Mus musculus: one gene and its partner. The protein of the gene in region 1 interacts with the protein of each later gene in a pairwise test. Links are inferred from orthologs where the notes say so. Each region holds a gene or a part of one and is shown in the gene's direction. Other genes may lie near its edges.

Region 1 (4,543 bases):
TTCTTTTTCTTTTTCTTTTTCTTTTTCTTTTTTCTTTCTTTCTTTCTTTCTTTCTTTCTTTTTTTTCTTTCTTTCTTTTTTTTGAGTCAGGGTCTCTTAATGTAGCCCTGAGTGTTCTGGAACTCACTCTGTAGATCAGGCTGGCCTCAAACTTAACAGAGATCTGTCTGTCTGCCTCCTGAGTGCTGGGATTACAGATGTGTGCCTTCATGCCTGATGAGGTCCTCTGAATTTACTGATTTTTTTTTAATTCCCCGGTCAGAGAAGCTGCAATACAAATTCTGGATGTGTCTCTCCAGAGTGCAGCTCCCTGGGGAGGTGGATCCTCTCTAGCTTCTAAAGTTCTTTGGACCTGACTGCTGAGGTACCTGCTAGAGCAGTGATTCTCAATGAGTGGGTCATAACACCTTTGGCAAACTCCTATATTCACATGACTATTCATAACAGTTGCAAAATTACAGTTGTGAAGTAGCAAGAAAATTATTTTTTAAAGATTTGTTCATTTATTTTATGTATATGAGTACACTGTAGCTGTCTTCAGACATACCAGATCCCATTACAGATGGTTGTGAGCCACCATGTGGTTGCTGAGTACTGAATTCAGGACCTCTGGAAGAGTAGTTGGTTATTTTTTTTTTAAAGATTTATTTATTTATTATATGTAAGTAAACTGCAGCTATCTTCAGACACACCAGAAGAAGGCATCAGATCCCATTATGGATGGTTGTGAGCCACCCTGTGGTTGCTGGGCATTGAACTCGGGACTTTGGAAGAGCAATCAGTGCTCTTAACTGCTGAGCCATCTCTCCAGCCCTGATTTACTTATTTTTTTTTCTTTTTCCATTTTTTTTTTTTTTTGGTTTTGTTTTGTTTTGTTTTTCGAGACAGGGTTTCTCTGTATAGCCCTGGCTGTCCTGGAACTCACTTTGTAGACCAGGCTGGCCTCGAACTCAGAAATCCGCCTGCCTTAAAGGCGTGCTCCACCACGCCTGGCTTCCAATTTTTTGTTAGGTATTTTCTTCATTTACATTTCAAATGCTATCCCGAAAGTCTCCTATACCCTCCCCCCAGATTTACTTATTTTTAAGAAGAGCAAATAAAGACTGAGGCTGTCTTTTTTTTTTTTTTTTTTTTTTTTAATTAATTATATGTAAGTACACTGTAGCTGTCTTCAGACACACCTGAAGAGGGCATCAGATCTCATTACGGGTGGTTGTGAGCCACCATGTGGTTGCTGGGATTTGAACTTCAGACCTTCGGAAGAGCAGTTGGGTGCTCTTACCCACTGAACCATCTCACCAGCCCCTGAGGCTGTCTTTTAATGTCATTTAATGCATATGAGTACACTGTAGCTGTCTTCGGACACACCAGAAGAGGGCATTAGATCCCATTTTTGTTGCTACTTCATAACTGTAATTTTGATACTCTTATGATTCTAAAATGAGTTCCTGAAGCGGACCTTCTTCATAGCTTAAGTTGTTGGGGTTGCGTGTTTGTGGCTAGGCGAGCAGGACCCAACTACTAGAGAGAGATGATTTTTCCAGGCCAAAATCCAGGCAGGTAGCCAGCAATGTCCGGCGCTTTTAGAGGCTGGGGAGAATTAGCAGCTGGGCGGGTCGAGCTGATGGGAGGGGCGGGGCGAGCTGATGGACAAGGCGAAGTGTTGCCGGGGAAGTTAGTAGGACAAGGCGGAACCTAAGGGTGCTTCCTGGCTGTCGCCTAATTATGGCGGCCGTTTGTTCTGGCAATGCAGTCCCCGTGTGGCTGAGCGAGGACGACCTGAGCTGCATTATCTGCCAAGGGCTACTAGACCAGCCCACCACGCTGCCCTGTGGCCACAGCTTCTGTCTCCGGTGCCTCCATGACCTGTGGGTCTCGAAGCGTGGGGCCGTGGATGGCTGCCCTTGGGCTTGCCCCATATGTCGGAAGGGTCCCTTGACAAAGCCCAAGCTGCACAAGAACCCGCTGCTGCAAGACCTGGTGGACAAGTACCTCCAAGCGGCGCGGGAGGTCGAGGCTGGCTCGGAGCCTGAACCCGCCCCCGCGCCGCGTTCTGCGCCCCAGGTAGGAAGCCTGCACCGGACTTCCAGATCTCTTTTTCTGCCACAAAATTTGCTCAGTCTAATCTGTTTTCTGGAGAACCTTAAAAAGTTTATAGCTGTATAAAGAAATACAAAAGCCCAATGTGGTGGCCCCATGCCTGCAATTCCCCGTTTTGGAGTGGCTTGCCCCACAGGGCCAGAGTTACATAGTAAGATCCCATCACAAACAGTTAAAAATCCAAGTCCCATCCACCCGAGGTGTGGTGCACACTTGTATAGTTTTAGTTTTTCCCAGCCTTCTGTGATGTCTGGAGATTCTTAGTGTGGTAGAATGTATGTGCCACAAAAATTGCCATTTTCCCCCTTAACTCAATTGGCCTATTTGTATATTTATTGAGACAGGGTCTAACTAGACTAGACTAGGATGGCATTGAACCTGGGGTGACTCCCTCGGCTTTCCAAGTCTGGGATTACAGGTGTGGGCCACTTGAACTCAAAACTTTGCCTGCTTCTGCTTTTCAAGAGCTGGGATCAAACACAGGTGCCACGACTGGCCATCTGAACAATTTTTTAGTGTACAGTTCGATGGCATCTCTCTTATTTCCAATACTGTGCTTCTGTCACCGCTGTTGCCAAGGTAATTTCATCAACTTAAAAAAGACCTCTGTACCCACTCACTAAGCAATAACACCTGATTCCTGTCCCTCCAGCCTCTCTGTATCTCATCTCTCATAAGCTTTATGTCTGAGTTTACCTGTTATATTAGGTCAGAAAGCGACGCACTGAGACCACCACTCCCATTCAAAGGCAAGAGTGTTTTTTGTTTGAAGAAAGCAAGAACCCTGCATGCAGGGGCCAGCCACTTATAAAAATGGTGACCCCAGACAAAGGGGCACAAGGCATCCATGGGAAACTAGAGGAATTTTATCAAACATTAGGTAATCTAAAACTTCATTAGTGGGTGCTGGGGAAGTTACATGGGTTGGTTTCTGATTAGCTGCTATGTTAGATTTACTATACTTGGGGAGGCCTTGAGGAAATCCCAGGAGATGACTCAGCTCTGAGCTTCCAGAGCCATTGATTATTAACAGCCCATTGTCTCAATCTGCTTCCCTGGGAAACTGAAACTTTTCTACTTCCAAGGTTTTTATTTCATTTTATTTTTTAGGGGACCTCTCATTATACATGTTTCATGTAAATGGGCCCCTTTGTGTCTAACTACTTTCAGTTTCATATTTTCAGGGCTGCTTGATGTTTCAGCATGTATCAGATCATCATTGCTTTGTGTGGCTGTTTTATCATCTCTGTGGATATGTAAGACCCCCGAAGCTGTGCCTCCCCTCAAGTCCTGGGATGAGCTGGCCAGCACGTCAATGACTTGAGAGAAATCCACACCTGATGCAAACTGCAAGAGGTTTTATTATCAGCTAGCTGAGGATGAACTCCTCAACGCCCTGCAGGGCAGGAGAGTTCGACCCTGAGCAGTAACAGTAGGGGGCTTTTAACAGCTAGCTGAGGAATTGGGAGGAGTTGGGAGGAGAGTTGGCTACAGCTCCTTTCTGGTGTGTGTGTGTGTGTGTGTGTGTGTGTGTGTGTGTGAGCTGTAGCTCCTTTATCTCTGTGTCCTTGTATGTCTTCCTACAATTATCGAATCTCTGGCTGTAAGGCACAGAAACAAAAGGGCTTTTTACTGGCTATAAAGAACAAAGAGCTTCTTTCTGGCTGTATTTTTAGAGATCAGGGAAAACAAGCTTGGGGAACGTCCAGGGGCTTTACCTTCTAGGGAGAAACGCTCTAAGTCGGGGTCCCACAGATATATATCACTTTCCAATCAATGTATCTAGCTATGAACATTTGAATCCTTCCCATCTTTTGGCTAGTATGACTACTAATACAATGTACATTATCTTATAACTGTAGTAGTATGTAAAAGTATGTTTGGGGGCTGGAGAGATGGCTCAGTGGTTAAGAGCACTTAGTGCTCTTCCAGAGGACCTGGGTTCAAGTCCCATCACCCACATGACACCTCACAACTGTCTGTAACTCTTGTTCCAGGGGATCCAACACCCTTACATAGACATACATGTAGTCAAAACACCAATGTACATAAAATAAAAATAAGTAAATTTTTTTGTTTGTTTTTGTTTTTTCGAGACAAGGTTTTTCTATATAACCCTGGCTGTCCTGGAACTCTGTAGACCAGGTTGGCCTCGAATTCAGAAATCCGCCTGCCTCTGCCTCCCAAGTGCTGGGATTAAAGGCATGCGCCACCACGCCCAGCTCACTTATTTTTTTATATAGTGTTAGGATAAGACTCTAAATTTGCTGGGTGGTCGTGGCACACGCCTTTAATCCCAGCACTTGAGCGGCAGAGGCAGGCAGATTTCTGAGTTTGAGGTCAGCCTGGTCTACAGAGTAAGTTCCAGGACAGCCAGGGCTATATAGAGAAACCCTGTCTCAAAAAAAAAAAATTCTAAGTTTAAGCAAGGCCTGGTAGTGTT
Region 2 (3,816 bases), on another chromosome or scaffold:
AAACTTGGGTAAAAAAAACATTTTTATTAGCCTAGCATGTTCTCTGTACAATTTTTAATGTGTTGTGGTACAAGTTGTTATTAAAATAAAAACCTCAACTGTTCTGAAAGACATGTCTCAGGCATCCCAGCTGTGAGTCAGCCCACACAAACAAAGAAGGAGTGTTTGACCGGATGAGAGTGGCCCTGGAGAAGGTCACGGAGATCGTGACTGACTGCAGACTCAGCGGAGAGACCGACAGCTCATCTGTCAGCATTTTTACTGGGATTAAAGAGTTGAAGGTAAGAATAAAGAGTAGGTTTGGCTTGTTTTCCTTTCTCATTGAAGGGAGCATCATTATGTATAGTATTCTGTGTAATGATTTAGAGTGGTTCATCTTGGGGCTGGAGGGATGGCTCAGTGGTTGAGAGTGCTGGATGCTTTCAAAGAGTGTCAAAGTTATGTTCCTAGTACCTATATCAGTTGGCTCACAATTGCATGTAACCCCAGGGAATCTGACATACTCTTAGTTTCCCTGGTACCCATACTCAGGTGCCCCTCCCCCTCCTGCACCATACACATAATTTAAAAAGAGATTAGAGTAGCACGTCACAGAAAGCAATGCATCTCAAGGGGTGAAGGATGGCTCGGTGGTTGAGAGCATGGGCTGCTCTTGCAGAGCATTTGCTATCACCCCCATGGCAGCTCACAGCTGCCTGAAACTCCAGTTCCAGGCCATCTGATGCCGTATTTGGCCTCCGTATTTGGCCTCCACAGGCACATGGTACACATATGTACATATAGGCAAATCACTTATACACATATTTAAAAAAAAAAAGTCAAACATATTTCTTTAATGTAATGCCACTCTGGAAAACCCAACAGTGAGCAATACGGGCTCAGGATTGTGTTGACAGACAACACAGGTCTTTGCTGACAGCAGCAGCCCTGCACAGCTCTTGGTTTAGATAGATTCCTCTGTGTAGAACCATCTGTGATGCTTCTGAGCAGCATACGGTCTCTTCTGGGACCCTGCTCTTCCTGGGTGATAGGGTCCACACATCGAAGCTGAGCAATAGCACCAACATTATAGCTCTACAGTAAATTCTACTGACATTTGGAGTGCTCGCTCTGTGCCAGTTTTGTGCTTTCAGAGTGTGGACTCCTGGAATCCGCACAGGAACCGTTGCTATTCTCTTCCGGGTGCCGTTAGGGAGACCGAGAGACAGAGATGAGATGGCCTTGCTGCCTCAGTACCAGAGCTGAGATCTGATGCCAGGAAGTCTGACCTCTCATCAGGAGGGCCCTACGGCACTATCTAGTACAGTGCCCTTATTTTCAAGATGGGAAAACCAAGGCCCTGCAAAGTTACCTAATTATGCTAAGGGTTTCGTACCCATTAAAAAGCAGGGCTAAGATGGTCATCATTTTCTTTCTGTCTCACTGCACCTTGACCTTGTATGAAGACTGAGATCAGAAGAGGGACTGAAAGAAAGCAGTGGAGCAAATTGTTCTCTTTGCTGACCATTGCCTGAGGAGGTGCTCCCACCATTGGACCCAGCAATGTTGCTCAGGCTGATCTCAAACTGCAATCCTCCTGCCTCAGCCTTATAACTGCTGGCATTACAGGCATGGAACACTATGCCTGCCTTGATACCAGTTTCTTTCTTTCTTTCTTTCTTTCTTTCTTTCTTTCTTTCTTTCTTTCTTTCTTTTTTTTTTTTTTTGGTTTTTCGAGACAGGGTTTCTTTGTGTAGATCTGGCTGTCCTGGAACTCACTCTGTAGACCAGGCTGGCCTCGAACTCAGAAATCCGCCTGCCTCTGCCTCCTGAGTGCTGGGATTAAAGGCGTGCACCACCACGCTGGGCACCAGTTTCTTTTTGATGGAGAAAGTAATCTGTAGAGAGAAATTTAATACTTTCTTCTGTTCTTCACTTATTGTAAATAAGTAGATATGTCTATGTAAACAGCTTAATAGCCTTAAAATGGTCAGTATAACTTCATTAAGTTGCTGTTTAAACATACACATACAAACATATACACACACATACATGCACACACACACACATGCACACACACACACATACATGCACACACACATACATGCACACACACATACATGCACACACACACACCCACACACACACACACACACACACATACACATTGGGTCTAAACCAAAAAATAATAAATGATGTGAATTGTACATGATTAACTTTTAGGTTTCAATTATTTAAAATCTCAGTCATCATTGCCTGTTTCTTACTTACCATCCATATCATTTTAAAAGATTTTATTATTACATTCAGCGCACTTTCCCATTTGAGTGCAAACCTCCTTGGGATTTTGCCCTGAGCAATTTCTTTATTGGCAGAGGCTGGTTTGTTGTTTGTATTCAGTTCTACACACTAGCAATTTTTATGCCTTAGTATGATCTCCTGGGAAGGTCATTATATTAACAGTTCTTGAAACAAGGCCTTGCATAGCCACTGCTGACTCCTGAACAAAGTGCCCTCCCAGCTGCCTGGAGATGATAGTGACCATTGGGTGCAGCTGCAGTCTTCCTAAGACTTGCCAGCACGTCTCAGGACATGGTTAGGACTTGTAGCCCATTTTAGGGATACTCACATGGATGCGTGGCCTTTTGCTCTCAGGTGAATATTGAAGCTCTTCGGGAGAATGTTTGCTTTGAGTCCAAAGAGAACCTTTCTGCCGCATTGGAGGCCGTCTTGGAGCATGTGGAGGACTTCACTGATTCTGCCTACACCAGCCACGAGCACAGGGAACGGATCTTGGAGCTGTCTTCTCAGGCGAGGACAGAGCTGCAGCAGCTCCTTTCCGTGTGGATGCAAACCGTAAGAGCTGTGCTCCTTAGAGGAAATCTTAGGCAGTAGATTTCCACCTAATGATCAGAGAGGGGTGGAAGGACTATGAATTGGGTCAGTGCATGACAAGCATGCCTTATCCCTTGATGCCATTCCAGTGGGCGAAACTTACGGCACACGCTGTGTTCAGGCTGCTCATTCTCCTTTTGGCCAGGCTGCAGTCTGTGCCATCCCCACCATCTATAGTTTCCCTCTTCTCCCCATTCTTCTGCCAAACTCACTTCTGGAAAATTCCTCTCCCAAATCTTCTTTAGTGAGGAGAGTAGAGGATGAACCTTTTGGAGGTCCTCGAGACATGCGTTTGCTGCTGGTGCTATTCTGCTGTGCACTGTTTAACTCCAAGCACAGCTGATTTACAGACTTGCTTTAGAATGCTCATTGAGGTCTAGATGAATGAAGATCAGGGTAGACCCCGATGGCGAATAAAAGTCTAGCACTTTCAGACTCCTGCACTACAGCAGCCAGCAGCCACTTAAGAGGCCTGGGTAGATTACTCTCAATATGGGAGACTGCTCAAGGAGGGTGGGTGAAAGCTACAGAGGTGTTACAACACAGGAAGTTTGTCCCAAGTCTTTGTTGTTGTTGTTGTTGTTGTTTTTGTTTTTGTTTTTTTTTTTGAGACAGGGTTTCTCTGTGTAGCCCTGGCTATCCTGGAACTCACTTTGTAGACCAGGCTGGTCTCAAACTCAGAAGTCCACCTGCTTCTGCCTCCCAAGTGCTGGGATTAAAGGCGTGCACTACCACTGCCCAGCTGTCCTAAGTCTTATAGCAGTAGATTGCAGAAAGGGGGTTGGGGGACAGAGGTCCAAGGCATGTTTTGGCACCTTATATAAAGAGTAGAGAGAAAGCTCAGGTTTGGGGGATATTTCCTACAGTACACATTATCTGGGAGTCCTGCCCTATCATGGGATAAGAGTTGTGAGCAGTGCTTTGCCTTTGGATTCTGTATGT

What was found.
Region 2: the proteins of Rnf135 (region 1) and Ctnnal1 interact in binary tests that used the Homo sapiens proteins (3 or more experiments, as listed by UniProt). The two-hybrid records come from large-scale screens. The link is inferred for Mus musculus from reciprocal best matches to the Homo sapiens genes RNF135 and CTNNAL1.

The regions. Positions count from the first base shown.
Region 1 is NC_000077.6:80,182,192-80,186,734, forward strand, and holds the start of Rnf135 (E3 ubiquitin-protein ligase RNF135), read left to right. Parts: upstream 1-1,677; 5' UTR 1,678-1,725; coding exon 1,726-2,064; intron 2,065-4,543.
Region 2 is NC_000070.6:56,834,197-56,838,012, reverse strand, and holds part of Ctnnal1 (alpha-catulin), read left to right. Parts: exon of another isoform or gene 1-8; intron 9-110; coding exon 111-281; intron 282-2,634; coding exon 2,635-2,835; intron 2,836-3,816. UniProt on the Homo sapiens protein: May modulate the Rho pathway signaling by providing a scaffold for the Lbc Rho guanine nucleotide exchange factor (ARHGEF1).